Linked DNA regions of Alligator mississippiensis. Each later gene encodes a partner of the first gene's protein in a complex. Links are inferred from orthologs where the notes say so. Each region holds a gene or a part of one and is shown on either strand. Other genes may lie near its edges. The genes, in order: CD40 and CD40LG.

What was found.
Region 2: the proteins of CD40 (region 1) and CD40LG are in contact, whole or in part, in a crystal structure (PDB 3QD6), measured with the Homo sapiens proteins. The link is inferred for Alligator mississippiensis from reciprocal best matches to the Homo sapiens genes CD40 and CD40LG. Residues at the interface, in NP_001241.1 of Homo sapiens: Glu64, Ser65, Glu66, His76, Cys77, Gln79, Tyr82, Asp84, Asn86, Leu87, Trp109, Cys119; in NP_000065.1 of Homo sapiens: Ile127, Glu129, Ala130, Lys143, Gly144, Tyr145, Tyr146, Cys178, Pro217, Cys218, Gln220, Ser245, Gln246, Ser248, His249, Gly250, Thr251, Gly252.

The regions. Positions count from the first base shown.
Region 1 is NC_081832.1:490,562-498,224, forward strand, and holds the start of CD40 (tumor necrosis factor receptor superfamily member 5), read right to left. Parts: upstream 3,197-7,663; 5' UTR 3,002-3,196; coding exon 2,945-3,001; intron 1,354-2,944; coding exon 1,272-1,353; intron 1,036-1,271; coding exon 907-1,035; intron 766-906; coding exon 619-765; intron 306-618; coding exon 212-305; intron 39-211; coding exon 1-38.
Region 2 is NC_081831.1:79,828,348-79,836,546, forward strand, and holds the start of CD40LG (CD40 ligand), read right to left. Parts: upstream 3,117-8,199; 5' UTR 3,074-3,116; coding exon 2,918-3,073; intron 591-2,917; coding exon 453-590; intron 1-452. UniProt on the Homo sapiens protein: Cytokine that acts as a ligand to CD40/TNFRSF5. Costimulates T-cell proliferation and cytokine production.

The DNA.
Region 1 (7,663 bases):
TCCCATTCTCCTTCATCACCAGCCCCTGCTCCTCGCATCTGCAGTGGGCATGGACACGGCTTCATGAGCCCAGACCCCACAGACCATGGAGGGAAAGCCAGGGTTTTGCCAGGCGTGTCCCTGCCGGCAAGTGTCTCCGGGCTCCCTCACTCACAGCCACCGCTCCCCTCCCTGGCTGACCTCCCAGCGCCGCACCCCCACCCTGCAGTACCTGCTCCAGGGCTGGCATGGCTTGCTGTCAGAGGTGACATTGGAGAAGCTGCCGTCCGGGCAGGGCTGGCACGTGGGGGGCGCATCCTCCTGGGCTGGAACAGAGCCGAGACGACCGCAGGGGTGAGCGTCAGGCAGGCGGGGGGGCAGGAGAAGGTGTGGGGCACGAACGAGGACACCCCAACCTGTCTGCCAGGCTCCCCCAGAGCAGGTGCAGCATGCATGCCTGCCTGAGCAGGGCCGGCTGCACCCCCTGGGAGGTCCCTGCACCCGCTCTGTGCTTCGGAGCCGATGGCCTGTTCGCCTGCCCCTGCTGGGGCTGCTGTGACCTGGCGGTGGGGAGCCAGGGTTGTGCAGGGCAGCATGGCCCTGTGACCTCTCGGGTTGCAAGTGCCAGGCCGCACTCACCTCTTGGCACAACCCCGAAGCCTGGCTTGCAGCGGGGGTTCAGCTTGCAGGTCTGGCACTGGGCGCTGGTGCAGTGCATGCCCACCTGGCAGCCACATGTGACATCCTGTTTCTCACTCCCCGGCGTCTTTACCACCAGGCCAACATCTGCCAAAGGAAGGGAGGGAGGGAAAGGTGGGCCACGGAGCCAGCCATGGCCAGGCCCCTCCTGTGGCAGGGGCTGCTGGAGCATGGGCAGGGCTGCGTGACTGCTGCCTGCCTGGCAGACAGCCCTGTGCCGGCACCTACTGGGGTCGCAGTATCTGTGGGGCATGCAGTGATTCTCCTTGGTCCAGTGGGCCTGGAAGGACCCCACCTCGCAGGGGGCACAGGTGGACCATTCCAACGCCTCGCTGCATGCAGCCGTCACCTTCTCTCCTGCAACACACAGCACCCGCGTTTGCTTCCTGCCTGGTGCAGCTGCCCATGGAGCCCAGCACCTGCCGTGCCCCCAGCACCCAAGGAGGTGCCACTGGGCACAGGGGGCGAGACCGGCCAGCTCTGCAGGCAGCACCGAGCCCAGGTCCTGGCCCTGGGGCCAAGGTAGCCGAGCTGGTCCCCTCTGGGCCGAGGCTCTGGCGCAGGGAGGGGCAGGGAAGGGATCTGCTCTGTACCTGGGGCGCAGCGGTTGCAGCACCTGCCCTCGTGCACGTACTGCCTCTCACTGCATCGGATGTCCGTCCCAGCGGCCGAGTGCTGGAACCGAGCAGAGCACAGAGCTCAGCCACCGCAGGCCTGGCTCCCACCTGCCCCAGACCTGGCTCCCCTCCCCTGGACGGTGCCGCCTGGCACGGGCCGTGCACCCTGCGCTCGCTCTCACCCTGCCCACATAACCACAACCACTGGGACCGGAGCTCTGCCGCCCCCGCGCCGCCCGCGCCTCCCTGAAGTGGGATGCCAGCGGTTCTGCTGCGGCGGGCACATGTCAGTGCCCTGACCACATCTCCTAGCAGCTGGCGAAGGCAGGGCCCACGCGTGTCTGCCCCGCCTGAGCAGGCAGCCAGGGCAGGGGCAGGGCTGGGAGCCCAGGTGGTGGCTCAGGGCTCAGCCTCCTCCCCTGGCGGCAGTGCTGGGCCCCCGCCTGGCAGGCGGACCTGGGGTGCCCCTTCCCTGGGGTGAAGCTGGGCCAGGCTCCCCCAGCAGTACAGCAGGGGTTGTCGGCAAGCAAACAACCCTCCTGGGCCGGCGGTGCAGCAGATGCCCCTGCAGCTGCCCCTGCCCTGGGGCTCAGCCCTGCCAGGCACCAGGGTCCGGGGCGGCGTGTGCCCTAGCCGGGGTCCATGGGCGGTTCTGTGGGGCTGGGGCTCTGCCCTCAGGGAGGGAACTGCCTGATGGGGCCCCGGGCAGGATGGGACCCTGGGTCACGGTCAATGCCTCCGAAAGGGGAACCGAGAGACGCCTCCGCTTGCCTGGGATCCCCCGCCGCCTACGCGCAGCCCTGTCTGCTTCCACCCCTCCACCCCAGCCCGTGTCCCTTCAGCCCCCGCAGCCTGCCCCTTCTCCACGCTCCTGCCCCGCACGCAGCCCGTGCCCGTGCCCGTGCCCGTGCCCAGCCAGGCTCTGCGGCAGCACGGCTGAGCCCTGTCCCCTGCAGCCTGCTTCGGCCTGGGAGCGAGAGGCAGCCGTGCTGGGGTCTGGCCGTGCTGGGAAATCGAGGGATTCCCAAGCTCCGAGCAGGGCACCGGCACCGGCACCGGCACGCTCCGCTGCCCAGGCAGGGGCCCCCGTGTCGCCAAAGCTGGGCCAGGCGCCTTCCCTGGCCCACGGGAATTGAATGAGACAAATCGGTGCCCTCGCCGGTGCAGGGCAGAGGACCTGGGATGGCCACGGCCCCCCAACGCCTCACTGGCACCCATGGGCCTCCAGGTTGCAAAGGGATCCTGGGGGCCTGCCCAGCTGCCCCGCATGCCCTGAGCCCGTCTCTGCCCCACAGGCATCGAGGTACGGCTGTCCCCGAGGCACGGCCCCTGGGAACGGGGCTCCCCGGTCCAGCCGAACACCAGGCAGTGCCCAGCCAGCGCCGGCTCTCCCCCCGCCCATTCGCCGCGGCCTCTGCGCCAACACCCCTGCCCAGGCAGGCGCCAAGGTCCCCCCTCCCCGCTGCGCCCCGATGGGCCAGGGCTGAGCTGGGGGTCCTAGCAGAGGCTGCCAAGCGGCTCGAAGGCCTCCCTGGCCCGCTCCAGCCCCTGCACCGGCGGCCGGGGGGTGCGTGGAGCCCGGCAGCAGCCTGGCAGCCGGGTCTGGCTCGTGGGTCGCACCTGGGGAGGGAAGAGAAAGTGAAACTCACGCCCAAGAGGCCTCGGCAGAGTAGCCAGAGGAGGCCGAGCAGACAGCAGGGCTCCATGCTGCGAGGGACACTCCTGCGCCGGCGGGGCGGCTACCTCTTGTACTTGCAGTCCCGTGGCCGCCCAGGAAAGGGCTGGGGCTGTCCAGATCCAATCCGCGCTGCAGGGCAGGGCAGGGCAGGGGGGGCCCAGCCCCCGCAGAAAAACTCCCCGTCTGCTTCAGCCAGGGCTGGGCCACGCAGCCCAGCCAGGATTTCCCTTGGCCCCCGGCCAGCGAGGTGGGGTGAGAACAGGCCTCGGCAGGCTGGCAGCCGCAGCACCCATGCGGGGGGACGCGCCGCAGCATCCCTGAGCCGGTCCCGGGTGCAGCCCAGGCACGTCGGGCTGCGTTGGGTGCTGCCACCCCAGTGCGTGCTCTGCTGTGCCGAGCGCCCGGCTGCGGGGCTCGTGGACACAGGCCTGCTCCTCCTGTCTCCCCGGTCTCCTGGCACAGGGAAGTCCGGCAGGACAGCTCCGTGTGCCAGGCAGGCCTGGCCGGGAGCCACGGGGCATGGCCTCCTATAGCTGCTGTGGCCCCCGTGGCCTCCTCCTCCCGCCTGCCCTGCAGGCAGCTGCCCGGCCCCAGCGGTCCCGCGCTCCGCGGGGCCGGCTTGGCCTGCGCTGTGTCCTGAGCTGGGTGCCGGCGCGTGCTCAGCATGGGAGTTTCTCCTTGCCAGGGCAGGGCGGTTCAGGAACAGGCGCCCCGGAGGGGCAGGCACTGGCCTGGCTGCAAGCCGGGGCGTGGCAAGGCCACGACGTGCTTGCCCATGTGAGCAGGGCCTCGTGGCACTGTCCCACAGATCCTTCTGCCCCCCATTTTGCCCCTAGAGCTGTCCAGAGCCCGGGGATGATCCCCTGCCCTCACCAGAGCCTGTGGCTCCCCTGGGCTCCTGGCAGCCCCACATGCCCGTGTCCGGCCGTGTCTGCCCGATCTGGTGGCAGGCGGGCGCCCTCGCATAGCAAGCAGGGGTCCGCACGGGGGCACGAGCAGCCCTGAGGTGTCATAGCATCATAGACTCATAGAAGTCGGGTCGGGCGGGACCTTGTAGATCTTCAGGTCCGACCCCTGCCTGGGCAGGAGAGAAACCGGGCTCAAGTGACCCCAGGCAGGTAGGCATCGAGCCGCTTCTTAAAGACCCCCAGGTAGGAGCCAACACCACTTCCCGTGGAAGTCGGTTCCAGATCCTAGCCGCCCTGACTGAAGTAGTTCCTACAGATGTCTAATCTGAACCTACTCTCCCACGACTTGTGGCCGTTACTCCTTGTTATCCTGGGGGGCGCTCGGAGAAACAGGGTCTCCCCCAAACCCTTCTGGTCCCCCCTAGTGAGTTCATAGACAGTCACCAGGTCCCCCCTCAGCCTTCTCTTGTGGAGGCTGAACAGGTTCAGGTCCCGTCACCTCTCCTCGTAGGGCCTGCCCTGCTGCCCCCGGATCGTGCGGGTGGCCTCCTCTGGACACCCCTTGCTGCCAGTGGAGGTTGGCCAGAGCTGCCACTGGGGATGGTGGGGGCAGTTCTCGGGCTTTTCTAGCCAGTCATCCTGGAAGCAGAAGTGCTGGGTTTCAGTTCAGCTTCTGTCTGGGGACTGCTGCGACATGGGTGACGCTGGGACCAGGGGCTGGGCATTCTCAGGCCGTCAAAGGGGCTGCGTCATCAAGAGCCCCCGCAGGGCTGTTCCTGCCTCCAGGACCCTGGGCACAGAGAGCCAGGACGGGGCGTCCACAGGGCCTGGAGCAGAGGATTCCCCGGGGCCGGGGACCGGGCAGCCCCGGGGGAGTTCCACGCACCGCTGACGAGGAGGCTTTCCCAACCCGCTCCTACTTCCCTCTGCAACTTTCCAGCTTCTCCTGAGAGTGCAAACGCCAGGCAGGAAGGGGCAAAGTGCTGCGCCTGCCTGCCCGTGGGACCCTACGCGGTGCCAGGGCCTGTCAGGCTGGGGGGACCCTTTCCGCTCCGCTCTTGCCCCGCATCCGTGCTTGGGGGGCGAGGGTCGGTCCCCAGCTGCACTCTGCCCAGCCACCCACGCGCGGACGGCAGGCCCAGCAGGAGGGCAGCAGCCTCGCCACCCACCCCCTCCCTCCTCCGGCCACAGACTGCCCACAGACACCCATGCGGCCAGCAGACAGGATGCGACGGGGCTGTCCCTGCCCGGGGCATCAGCGCAATGGCCCCATGCCTTTCACGTGGCTGCAGTGCGCCCGCGGGGCAGTGCCCAGCAGTGCCCGTGTCCCTGGCCCCGCGGCCCGGTGGCTGTGTGAGGGTGAGCCGCGCTCCCCTCGGCGCCGTCCCTCTGCCGGGGCCTGTGGCAGGGCGGCGTGGTGCCCTCCCCCGCCGTGGTGCCTGGCCCCAGCCCCTGCCAGGCGCAGCTGGAGCGAGGCAGGAGGGGAAGGGAGGCTCTGCCGGCTGCGGGCCGCGTCACTTCCCAGAACAGCGTCTCAAGTGCCAAGCAGAGGTCCCAGGGGTGTCTCCAGACCAGAGCGGGAGGGAGGGGCTTTCCGGGCCTGGGCTCGCACCAGGGCCTGGGAAATCCCGCACCGCCCTGCGGCTCGGCTGCCCAGGCAGCCTCTGCCGGCCGGCCGGCCCTCGGCTCCCACGGCCGCCCGGCGCCCGAGGGCCCTTGTGGGGGCTGTTTCCAGCCCGCCAGCACCAGCAGCCCCCCGCTGCGTCGACGTAACCGCCCGCTCCAGCCCCTTCCTGGCAGAGCAGTGCCGGGGCTGGCATCAGGGCCGTCCGTGCCAGGGCACCGACGCAGCGGGCCCCTTGGCTGTCGCTGGCACCACGTGGCCAGCGGCAAAAGCCTCGGCTCCCGGAGTCAGGGGATGCGGGAGGCGCTGTGCAAAGTGCAGCCGCGCAGTGCCTGCGCCCAGCCCCGGGAGCCCGAGAGTTGTCTCGCCTGCGCCCCCCGCACCGGAGCCGCGCGGCTGGGAGCGGGGTCTCGTGGTGCCACCCAGTGGCCATCGCGGGGCGCAGCCGCCACGGACGTGAACTTGGGCGTTTGCAGGCAGGGCCCACGCGAGCCACAGAGCAGGGAGGGGAACTCCCCCGTGCTGTGCCCGCGGCCGCTGTTGCCCTGCCGCGGGGTGGAGAGGGCACAGCTGCCCCCCACGGGGACGTCTGCCACGGACAGTCCAGTGCAGAGCAAGAACATGGCGGAGGCAGGAGTGGCAAGGAGCTGGGGCTGAATCTGGAGCAGGGATTTGATCAGTTTTCCAGGCCCTGAAGGGCTGTGACAGGATGGAGACGGCTCTTCTCTGGGGCCGCAGGGGGCAGGACTAGGAGCAAGGACACAAAGGCTGGCGGGGGCACTCGTGGCGGGGTGGCCGTGGCCCAGGCCCGGGTTACCAGGCTGGCAGGGGTGCTCTGTCTGTCCACCTTCGGAGTCGCGGGCCCAGCCCTCCACGCCACGGGCCGCTCTCCTTCGCGTGGGGAGGCTACAGACTAGCCTCCCAGGCGGGGAGGCAGCGCAGGCGTGGCGCGGGGGTGCAGCTCGCGGGACAGTGGCGGGCCGTGGCCGTGGCCCGGTGGGGGAAAGGGGGTGCTTGGGAGCGGCCCGCAGCAGCCCCTGGGGACTACATGCCCCAGCATGCCCCGGGGCGGGGCCGCTGCCGCACGGGCCGCCGGGAGCCGGAGCGCGCCTGCCATTTTGTCGCGGCCGCCCGGCGTGCGTCATGGCGGGCGGGCCACGTGACCGGGCCGTGCCGTAAAGCGCGGCACTGTCGCGGCCCCGCCCCCTGCCCCGTCCCGTCTCGCTTTCCGGCAGCGGCTGTGGGGGCGGTTGGCGCCTTTGTCCTCGCGGCGGCGGCGGCTCCGGGCCCGGCGGTAAGTGCGGCCGCGGCGGGGCGGGGCGGGGCGGGGCCGGGGGGGCGCGGGCCCCGCGAGTCCTTCGCCAATAAAAGCCTGACAAAGAACCGCGTCCGCGCAGTGTTGCCCTTTCTCGGCCTCCCGCCGCCTCTGCCGGGCCGGGCCGCGCCCGCCCGCCCGCCGCGGGGCTCCCGTGACAGGGTGTCCGGGCCGCGGGGTGTGCGCTGTGCGGCCGCGTCGTGGGGGTCGTGTCGGGACGTCTCGCGGGGGGGGCACTCCCTGCTCGTCCGCGCTGCGCGGAGCGGGCCCCGGTGGGCAGCGGCCCGGCCCGTCTCCTCCGCGCGGCGGCGGCGGCGGGGGGCGAGGAGCCGGACGTGGCGGCCGCCGCCGGAGCCTGCAGGGGCGCTGGTCCCCGCGCGGGGCCGCCGGAGCCCGTCCCCGGGGCGGGGCGGGGCGGGGCCGTGGTGCCGCCGGCGGCGGGCGGGGGGGCGGGCTGGTGTGAGGGGCGGCGGGGCGCGGGGGTCTTGTCCCGCTTGTCCCAGCGCCCTGAGGCGCGCGGGGCCCGGCCCGGGCCGGCGGCGGCGCTGTGGAGCACGGCTCCGTAGCGCGAGCGGGGCCCGGCCTGGCCCGGCCCGGCGGGGCGACACCTCCGGTCCGCGCGGCGGCAGGCCCTGCTCTGCCCCGGGCGGGGTGGAGCGGGGGCGAGGGACGGCGGGTCCCAGGGGCCGCGCACGCTTTGCTCTCTCCTGGGACCTGGTCCTCGTTCGCTGGAGGTCTCGTGACGTTTGCCTTGTTAGACCTGGAAGATGGCTCCTTCCTCTGCTTGTTGCCGCGTTTTCTCCCGTACAGCGCACGCTGCTTCCCTGCGAGAGGAGCCGTGCG
Region 2 (8,199 bases), on another chromosome or scaffold:
GGAGCTTCGGTTCTAAAGAGAAAGTGCCTGAGCTCAGACACTGGGCAGCACCAGCTCCCGTTGTGCTGAATGCAGCTGCGCAATCACACACTGCTGCGGCAACTGCTGCTTTTGCACCCCCTTACAAAAGCGGCACCCAGGGCTGCTGCCCTGCTTGCTTCCCCTCAGTTATGCTAATTCCTGAGCGCCAGTGCAAACAAGGATTTCCTTATACCTTTGTTTCCACCGTGTGATTGGTAGCGGTTGTGCTGGCAGGATCAGGCTTCCAGATTCTAGCGACAGTTGCAAAAGAGCAATTCCATTGACTTCAGAGGAGTTAGTCTCCATTTAACTTCCATTTAACTAAGACTGAAATCTGGCCTAGGATGTAAAAGCACACCAAAGTTGCTTTTTAAATAAAGCTTGTAAGACTGTGTACGGGTGTGTGCACCTGTGTAGACCCAGCCTCTTACCTTCATTAGCAGATGCTTCAACCTGTCTGTAATCTTCTTACAGTCCAGTAATGAAGATTCCACACCTTCTGGTTTCTGACATTCGTGTAATCTTCTCAGGAATAAGAAATCTTCATTTAAGCTCATCCCATCTTTCAGCTGCAAGCGAGATGACAGAAAGGGTAAAAGGAATGCTAGTGGGAGAGTGGCCAGGTGACAAAGGAAAACAGGCAAACCTTATTCTGAAATGATAATTCACAAATGGGTAAGCCCCCCATCCCACATCTCTTGATGACTTGACGTCCAGACCCAGACAAAATTCTCTTGCACTTCAATGGGAATTTTGCTCACATCGCATCTGGGAGGCTAAACCTCACAACATATTTCTACCTGAACTGTGCAACAACAAGTGAAACCTACTGTCAGGTCTTTAGTATTAATTCACATTACATTCCACTCCTCCCCCCTTTGAAAAGGTAGGACATGCATCACCTTGACAACAGATATCGGCTCAGAAATCTGGACCAGTCATTAAAGGCTTGATCTCTGGCCGGTACTCACGTGGATCTGTACCTGCTCTAATTAGTTTGTCCCAGTGAAATCAAAGATGCTGCTCATAACCAGGACAGGGCAAATTCTTTTTAGTGGAGAGTTTATTTGCCAAAAAATATGGTTTTGAGGAGACTGAAATTAGTTGTGAACTGCGGTCAAATTCGGTAATAGCTTCAGACAGAAAATGTGAAAAAATGGAAGCTCTATCATTTCTTTAGAATGTTTAGAAACTAAACTTTAATGAGTTGTCATTTTGAAACTTTTTTGTCCCAAAAAAATCACAAAATTTAATTTAAAAAAATGGGGTTAAAACTGTTGAAAACCAAGCAGGTTCCCTAAGGTCTGCATCAGTGGAGAGTCTACAGGTCAGGCTGTTCACAGTAAAATGGTAGAGTCAGATTTTTAAAAAGCCAAAAACTTCCTACAACCTCTAATTATCATCTTCTTTAAAACCAAACCAGTTGATGCTGTTAATTTTGGGAAAGTGACATTTTCTATTGCTGCAGCAGTAACCAGTCATTCCATCCACTGGACAGACTTTGACTCCTGCTCTCACTTTGAATCGTGTCTGCAGGTGTAATGGCTATTTAGTGCCCTATAGATGGTGATGGCACATGGAGTTGCCAACAGTGAGGCCAGAAGCACAATAGTTGCTCTTTTTTTGTCCCTCACCCCTCCAGTCAGCACCCAGGGATGGTGACCTGGACACCCCCATAGATATACTACTGGTAGCGCCAAATGGCAGAAAGGTGCAACTGGAGGAGAACAAGGATTTTGCAAACCAGTATGAATGTTGTACCACTGTGATTCTCACAGACTAATTCCCCAGTTGCACTTAGGCAGACAAGGTTCTTTGGGCAAATGTGATATCTTCTAACACCAACTATTGGTCTAATAAAAGATATAATATAAAAGATGTCACATTTATCCAAATAACCTGTTTGCCTATATCCTTAGACCAACACAGCTATAGCTAACACCCCATTCGCACTTACACTTTTGAAGCCCAGTTCTACACTTCATATATATGCAAACTGAATACTCCACACTCATTAACATTTCAATTATGAATGTGAACCTAAAATGATTATTTTTTTACATTTCACTAAGAAAAACATTCTTTTGCACTGTTTAAGTTGAACACATTTGATTCTATATATATTTTAATTGGCTTTCCTGCTATATCTCTTCGCTGCTGTTTGAGTAAAACTTAGTTTTAAATAAGGTGGCGTTAGATGGCTTATCCACCACTGGAGCAACAGCAACATTGAAAACAGCTTTTACATTTCAAATTCTTTAATAAACATTCTCAGAAGCATAAGGCAAAACCATTTGGATTGTGTCTATTTAAAAATAAGTCTACTCTTTTTTTCTTAATGTATAAAGATTTGTAAAGTGAAACTGACTCTAAAACTTTTACATAAAAATTCGCTTTTGGCATTACTCTCTCTTTCTAAGTGTCACTATAAATCATAATACAACTGGGTCTTAAATACTATCACAAATTAAAAGGTATCCATTTACTCCCAAAGAGCATGGAATCATCATTCACGGTGTTCACACTGACTTGAACGCAATACTTTCTGTCATCTCTGAATTTAACCTGATCAAATACACTTGTTTTGATATAATTTACACTTCGCTTTGCTGATCCAGAATTCTTTTATTAATTGCATGATTCATTAGCAAAATATATCTTCTGTACAAATATTCAAGTCTGTGAACTTTATATAATTTAAACATATCTTTTTTCTTCAGCAAGTGGCAGATTAAGACCCAAACAAGAAAATGTATGCAATACATGCCACTTCTATATAAGAAAATTATTAACAGCTTTTGCATCATTATTCATCTTTGTTCAACAGTTTTCTCTGTGCTGAAAGTAAATCATTTTAGTACTGGTCCAGTTAACACAGTCCTACTACTAATCTTACCTTGTCCAACTGCATGTGAAAATATAAGCAAAACAGTGCAGTCCCAATAGTCTGTGCTACAATAAATACACTAAGAAAGCATATCAAAATTTTCATGCTGATTGATGAGCGGGTACTCGTAGGTCTAGGTGTCGTTGGGGCATAAGGTTCATTCATTCTGTATTCACGTTGCTGAGGCTTCCTCTTCAAAAGTTGTAGTCATGAGCAGCATAAGAACTGTCCCTGGTAACACGCGACTCAAGATAGTTAAAGCATGCAAGATTGTCACAGCCCACACTTCCTGGAAAAAACCCTTCGTAGTGGGGAGGTTTGTTCACTACCATCTCCCACAACAAAAACGTTGCTTAAACTTTCTTCGGCTGCTCACTTCCAGGCTTTTTCCTATTGTTCTGTCAGAGTCAGTTGAATATTCTTATTCCATGTATTCATATTTGCCCCGAAACACTCTAGAGCATTACCCCTTTTTTTTCCTTTCGCGGACAAACATTTCACGGCTGATGACTTCAAAGAAATGAGGGAAACAAATCCATGAGTAAAGTGATTGAATTTCAGTGAAGGTGGTAAAAGGGTTGGAAACAGTCAAACACTAATTGTTTCAGAACAAGGGAAAAGAGCCTTCGTTAACTCATTGTTTTCCTGAGAGAGGAAGGATGGGTTTGTAGTTACGACAAAAACTAGAAATCAAGAGAAACAAGTGCAGTTCTGCCAGGCCAGGCCTCTCTTGGCCTGCTGTCTGGTCCCATGTAAACCAGCACAGCTGGTTCCATGGTCAGGTTGTCAGTGACTAAACTGGCACACCAACCTAGGCTAGCCTGGGTGAGGAGGGTACGTGAGCTAAAAGCAAGACCTTTCAAAGGGCAGATGAGCCCCCTGTGAACCAATGGCCATCCATGCATAAAGACCAGTTCACTTTGCCCAAAGAATCACCAATGATGCACAGCAGCTAAGGTGCCCTGATGGTCACAGCAGCCTCAGGACTGACTTGATTTGAAGTGCAGTTCTGGGCTTTATTGCCTACTCCTTGCGTGACTTTGGACAAGCCACATAATGTCTCTACAACTCATTTCACTACATGTACAAAGGGGATGGTGATACTCCTTTTGTCTAATGTAAGCACTTTTGAGAAAGGGAATTTGAGAACGTAAGCACCTTGGGAAAGGGACCAGCTCTTTTGGTAGCTGGCCCAGTGGGGCCCCCAACTTTGTTGGGGCTTTTTGATGCTACCAGAACTATAACAGTAGCGGGGGGGCTTTCACCTCCTCCCCATTATTTGCTTTTCAAGATAGCTTTCTTTGAGCCTTCTGAACTGCACCATGATGTCCCAAGCTGCTTCCACTGGCACATACTGGCTAAATGCAATGAAATGTGTCCTTAAAAAGAGAAAGTCCATTGAAAGTCAGCCCCAAATAAGCAATGATCCAAGAGGCATAACCCGTAATCCTTGCTCAGGCAAAACTCCCCAGGCACTATGCTTGGGTTGGCCAAAAAGGGTGGGAAGAACAGGGGATCTTGGCCAGCTGTCTTGTGCAGTTGTATTCTCACTGACCATGCTCTTCACCCCAAAGCTGTCTGTCTTCACTGATACAGACAGGCTGCTGCACAGCACAGATTTTTGTGTCCACTGCCTGATCCTCTTAGGGAGAAAGCCAAGCCTGTCATTCCTGGCAGGCACGGGAACTCTAGCAATTAACGCACTAGCCGGGGACTTGGGAAATCTGCATTTATTTCTGCCGTGCACTTCCTACCCAATCCTGGGCAAGGGGGTTCAAACCTCTCCATGCTTCTGATGCCCAATTGTAACATTGGGTAACAAACCCTTCCTTCACCTGGCTTGTCAAATCAGACTGTAAGCTCCTGAAGGCAGAGGCAGCCTCCTCCTGCTTGTCTGCACAACATCCAGCACACTGGGACTCTGGGTTCAGCCAGGTTCTGGGCACCACGGTAGTAACATTGGCCTAATCCAGCAAAGTCCCCAATATTCATAATTGGTGTGGGGGCTCTGGTCCAGAGAGATAAAGAGCACCTGTTGCAAACAGCCAAGTCCTCTTAGCTGTAACATGGGAACCTGCTGTCTACAATGTAAATCAGAGGGTTTGGTCTTTGTTAAAATTGTTTTACAAAGACTATGTTAAATGTTATAAATTTATCAGACTTTTGCACTTCAGCTAAAAGAGTCAGATCCTGTGTGAGCATCAGTGGTGCCAGCAGCAAACTGAGCTCTGCTCCACTCTGCCTGAGGGCCCTGGGGGTAAAAGATGCTCAGTACCTTGCAGGGAATGCTCAGCACTTTGCAGGATGGGCCTGAAGTTTGTTTCAGCTCTACACCCACTCTCCAGCATCCTGTCCTGTGTGGTTCAGAGTTGTTAGCTGCAAAAGCAAATGCTGGTAACAAGCACAAACACCTCTGCCACCAACTCTGCCTCTGACCTTGGGCAGCTCACCAAACCACTCTGCTCCTAAATTTAGTACTGCAAAACAAGGTGCACCAATAGTGCCAGAAGTCTTAATATTGACAGAATAAAATACAAGGCAGGAAGGCTGTGTGGTTAAAGCATAGGGCTGGGACTCAGGAACTCTGCCAGTTTCCCTGGGCAAGTTCTTTGTCTTAGGACATCCCCCTCCAACTAGTAAGTAGAAATGACTATCCTTCTTTTGTCCATCTTATCTCTCTAGATCACATCTTTAGGGTAGGGGCTGCCCCTTATAACGCACATATACAGCACTTGTAGTGAGTGATCATGGGTGATGTTAACCTAAATATCACAACAGCCTCTTTTTGTAGTGACCAGCTCCATTTCACGATTCTTTTGCACACAAGCAACCTGACAAGGGTATCTTCTTTGCTATTTCTATGTGAAAATAATTACCTCACTGCCCTTATTAGTCAAGCCCCAGCCCATTCTTCACACGAGAGCCTCTTGAACAACACTGTCCTCTGCGAGGGCTGCAGGAAGTGAGGTTGAAAAATTGATAGGAGGCAAAAAGGCTCCTCCACGCCCTCAGTCCCGGGTCACCTCCGCCTCTGGATTCCCCAGAACATCCTGTTTTCTCTATGTCCCTGGTCTGGTCCACTGATGTTTCGGGGAAGGGACTGTTGTTAGTTTTATATATCACAGAATGGCAAATACCATCATTATTACCATGATGACAGAAAATAGACTGCCTGATGCATAGACTTCTGGAGTCAGTAGAAAGAGACTCCCATTGCCTTCCATGCGATGTTGCTCAGTGGGGGTTCAGGGGCCCATCTTCCTAATCAGTGTATGCACACACACACATACATTGAGGGTACTCCCTGACCAGCATTTATGATCCTTTTTTACTTAATTAACCCCTTTACCAGTGCAGATCTAGGCGCTCTGCAAAGACTTGTTCCAAAACTTGAGGATTCGTATCTAGTCTAGAGGCACTCTCAAGCCCAAGAAGTTAACTATTTAGACAGGCCTAAGAGACAAAAAGAGCTTTCTCCGCTGGTGGGAAGTGGGGACATGGCAAGATAAAGTGACATGTCACGGAGGAAGCTTGTGGGCATGTCTTCACTGCCTTTTGACCAGGCTAGGAAGCATCAGCATGAGACCATGCCCCTCCCTCTAGCTCTTGCTCCACGTGTGATGCCAGAAAAAATGTACCATAGCTGCTATCATGGCCCACTGCATGCTCAATGCCTCTCCCACCCCCAGCTAGTTTGCACCCGACACTTACAATCGTTCAATGACAGGTGGGTAGCATTTGGCATGGGTGAAGCAGGGAGAGCATGTTTCTTGGTGGCATTCCCTAGCGGGAGGCAGTGTAGACAGGCACCAGGATGGATCCAGAAATCACACCAATGTGTTTCTAATTCCTGACCCCATGACTCCACCATTTGATAAGAACCCACATTTCCCCAACTTCTTCAAAGTTTCCTCTGAAGTGAACACTTGTATTGAGGGCAACTCTTTAAAAACGAGAAAAAAAAATTGCTACCTTCAGTCATTACTTAATACTTTCCCCGAATCCTGCAGTGTCAAGGCTGAGCTAAGTCTACAAGGTGTGAAACCACAGTGATGAGTTTTGTAAAGAGCAGCCACTGAGGTTTTTGCATAGATATTCCTAAACCCTGGCTGTCACTTGCAAATGAAAGCTGCTTCTGGAGTGCTACTTAGCAACTATTTCACCGAAATGAGCAGAACTTTTGACTAACACCGGAAACCCTTAAAACACTGGGGGCCTGTTTAACATGCAACCTTCAAGGGAGTGGAGAGGCAGGAGGAGACAGTATCTTCTAGAACCGTGTTCAAAAGGCTGAAGATGTGAACCAGGTGTCTGGGACGGCCTCAGATTTTGATTGTCCCTCTTGAAACACCTCAAAGGGAACTCAGCTAGCAAGGACAAGTGTTCAGCCCATTCTGAGAACTGGGCCCCTTTCTCAGACATCTTGAATGGGAAACCCTAGTCGCTATTGAAAGTCTTGGCTTCAAGTCACTTTGAACAATGACATCTAAAGGATGATATGAGGTTGGGGCCACCGATAGAGGCTTGTCAGTGCCCCCTTGGGGATGTATCTGTGCAGCCACTGCTCCAGAAAGCATCACTTCCCATCAGCCATCCCTCTGCTCATCACCTTGCAACTCATTTGGCTAAGTGTGTAGGAAAGCTGATGTCAAGACAACTCTGAATGCTGTGGGGCCTTGGATCTCTCAGCCCCACTATGACTCTGGGTACTAGCTTGGGCAAGGCCTTTCAACTGCTATGGCTGAATTGGGAACAGCGTCAATACTCTGGGCTCCGTCAGAAGCCTTCGATGCCACTGACTGGGAAGGGCTGTTGACTCATGTGCGAACTTTGATGTGGGTGGGCACAGCCGTCCTAAGAAAACCCTGTTGGTTTTTTTGCTGAGCAGTGCTTGACAGCTGTTGCTTCCATCTCAGAGAGCTCTCTTGTTCCCCATGTCCAAGTGGTACATTTGGGGCTGCTGGGAGAATTGAGAAAGAGAGACTGTTGTTGATGCCCAGCACTGTCGCTCAGTACCACTAAGCCCAGCCAGAGCATTCAACTGCCTAGGCCAGCGTGGGATAGGATCAAGGCACTGATGGGAATGAGCAGCTATAATTTCAAGGCCTTGAAGAAAGCCAAAGCCCATACTGTGTGCTGCCCCATCTACCCCACATATGGAGGATGCAGTCATCTGGGTGCTGAGGGAGATGTAACTAGATTTAGGCAGACTGCAACTAGATTTAGACAGACTACAAAAGTGGGCAGATGAGAATAGGATGGGGTTCAACGCAGACAAATGCAGGGTGCTG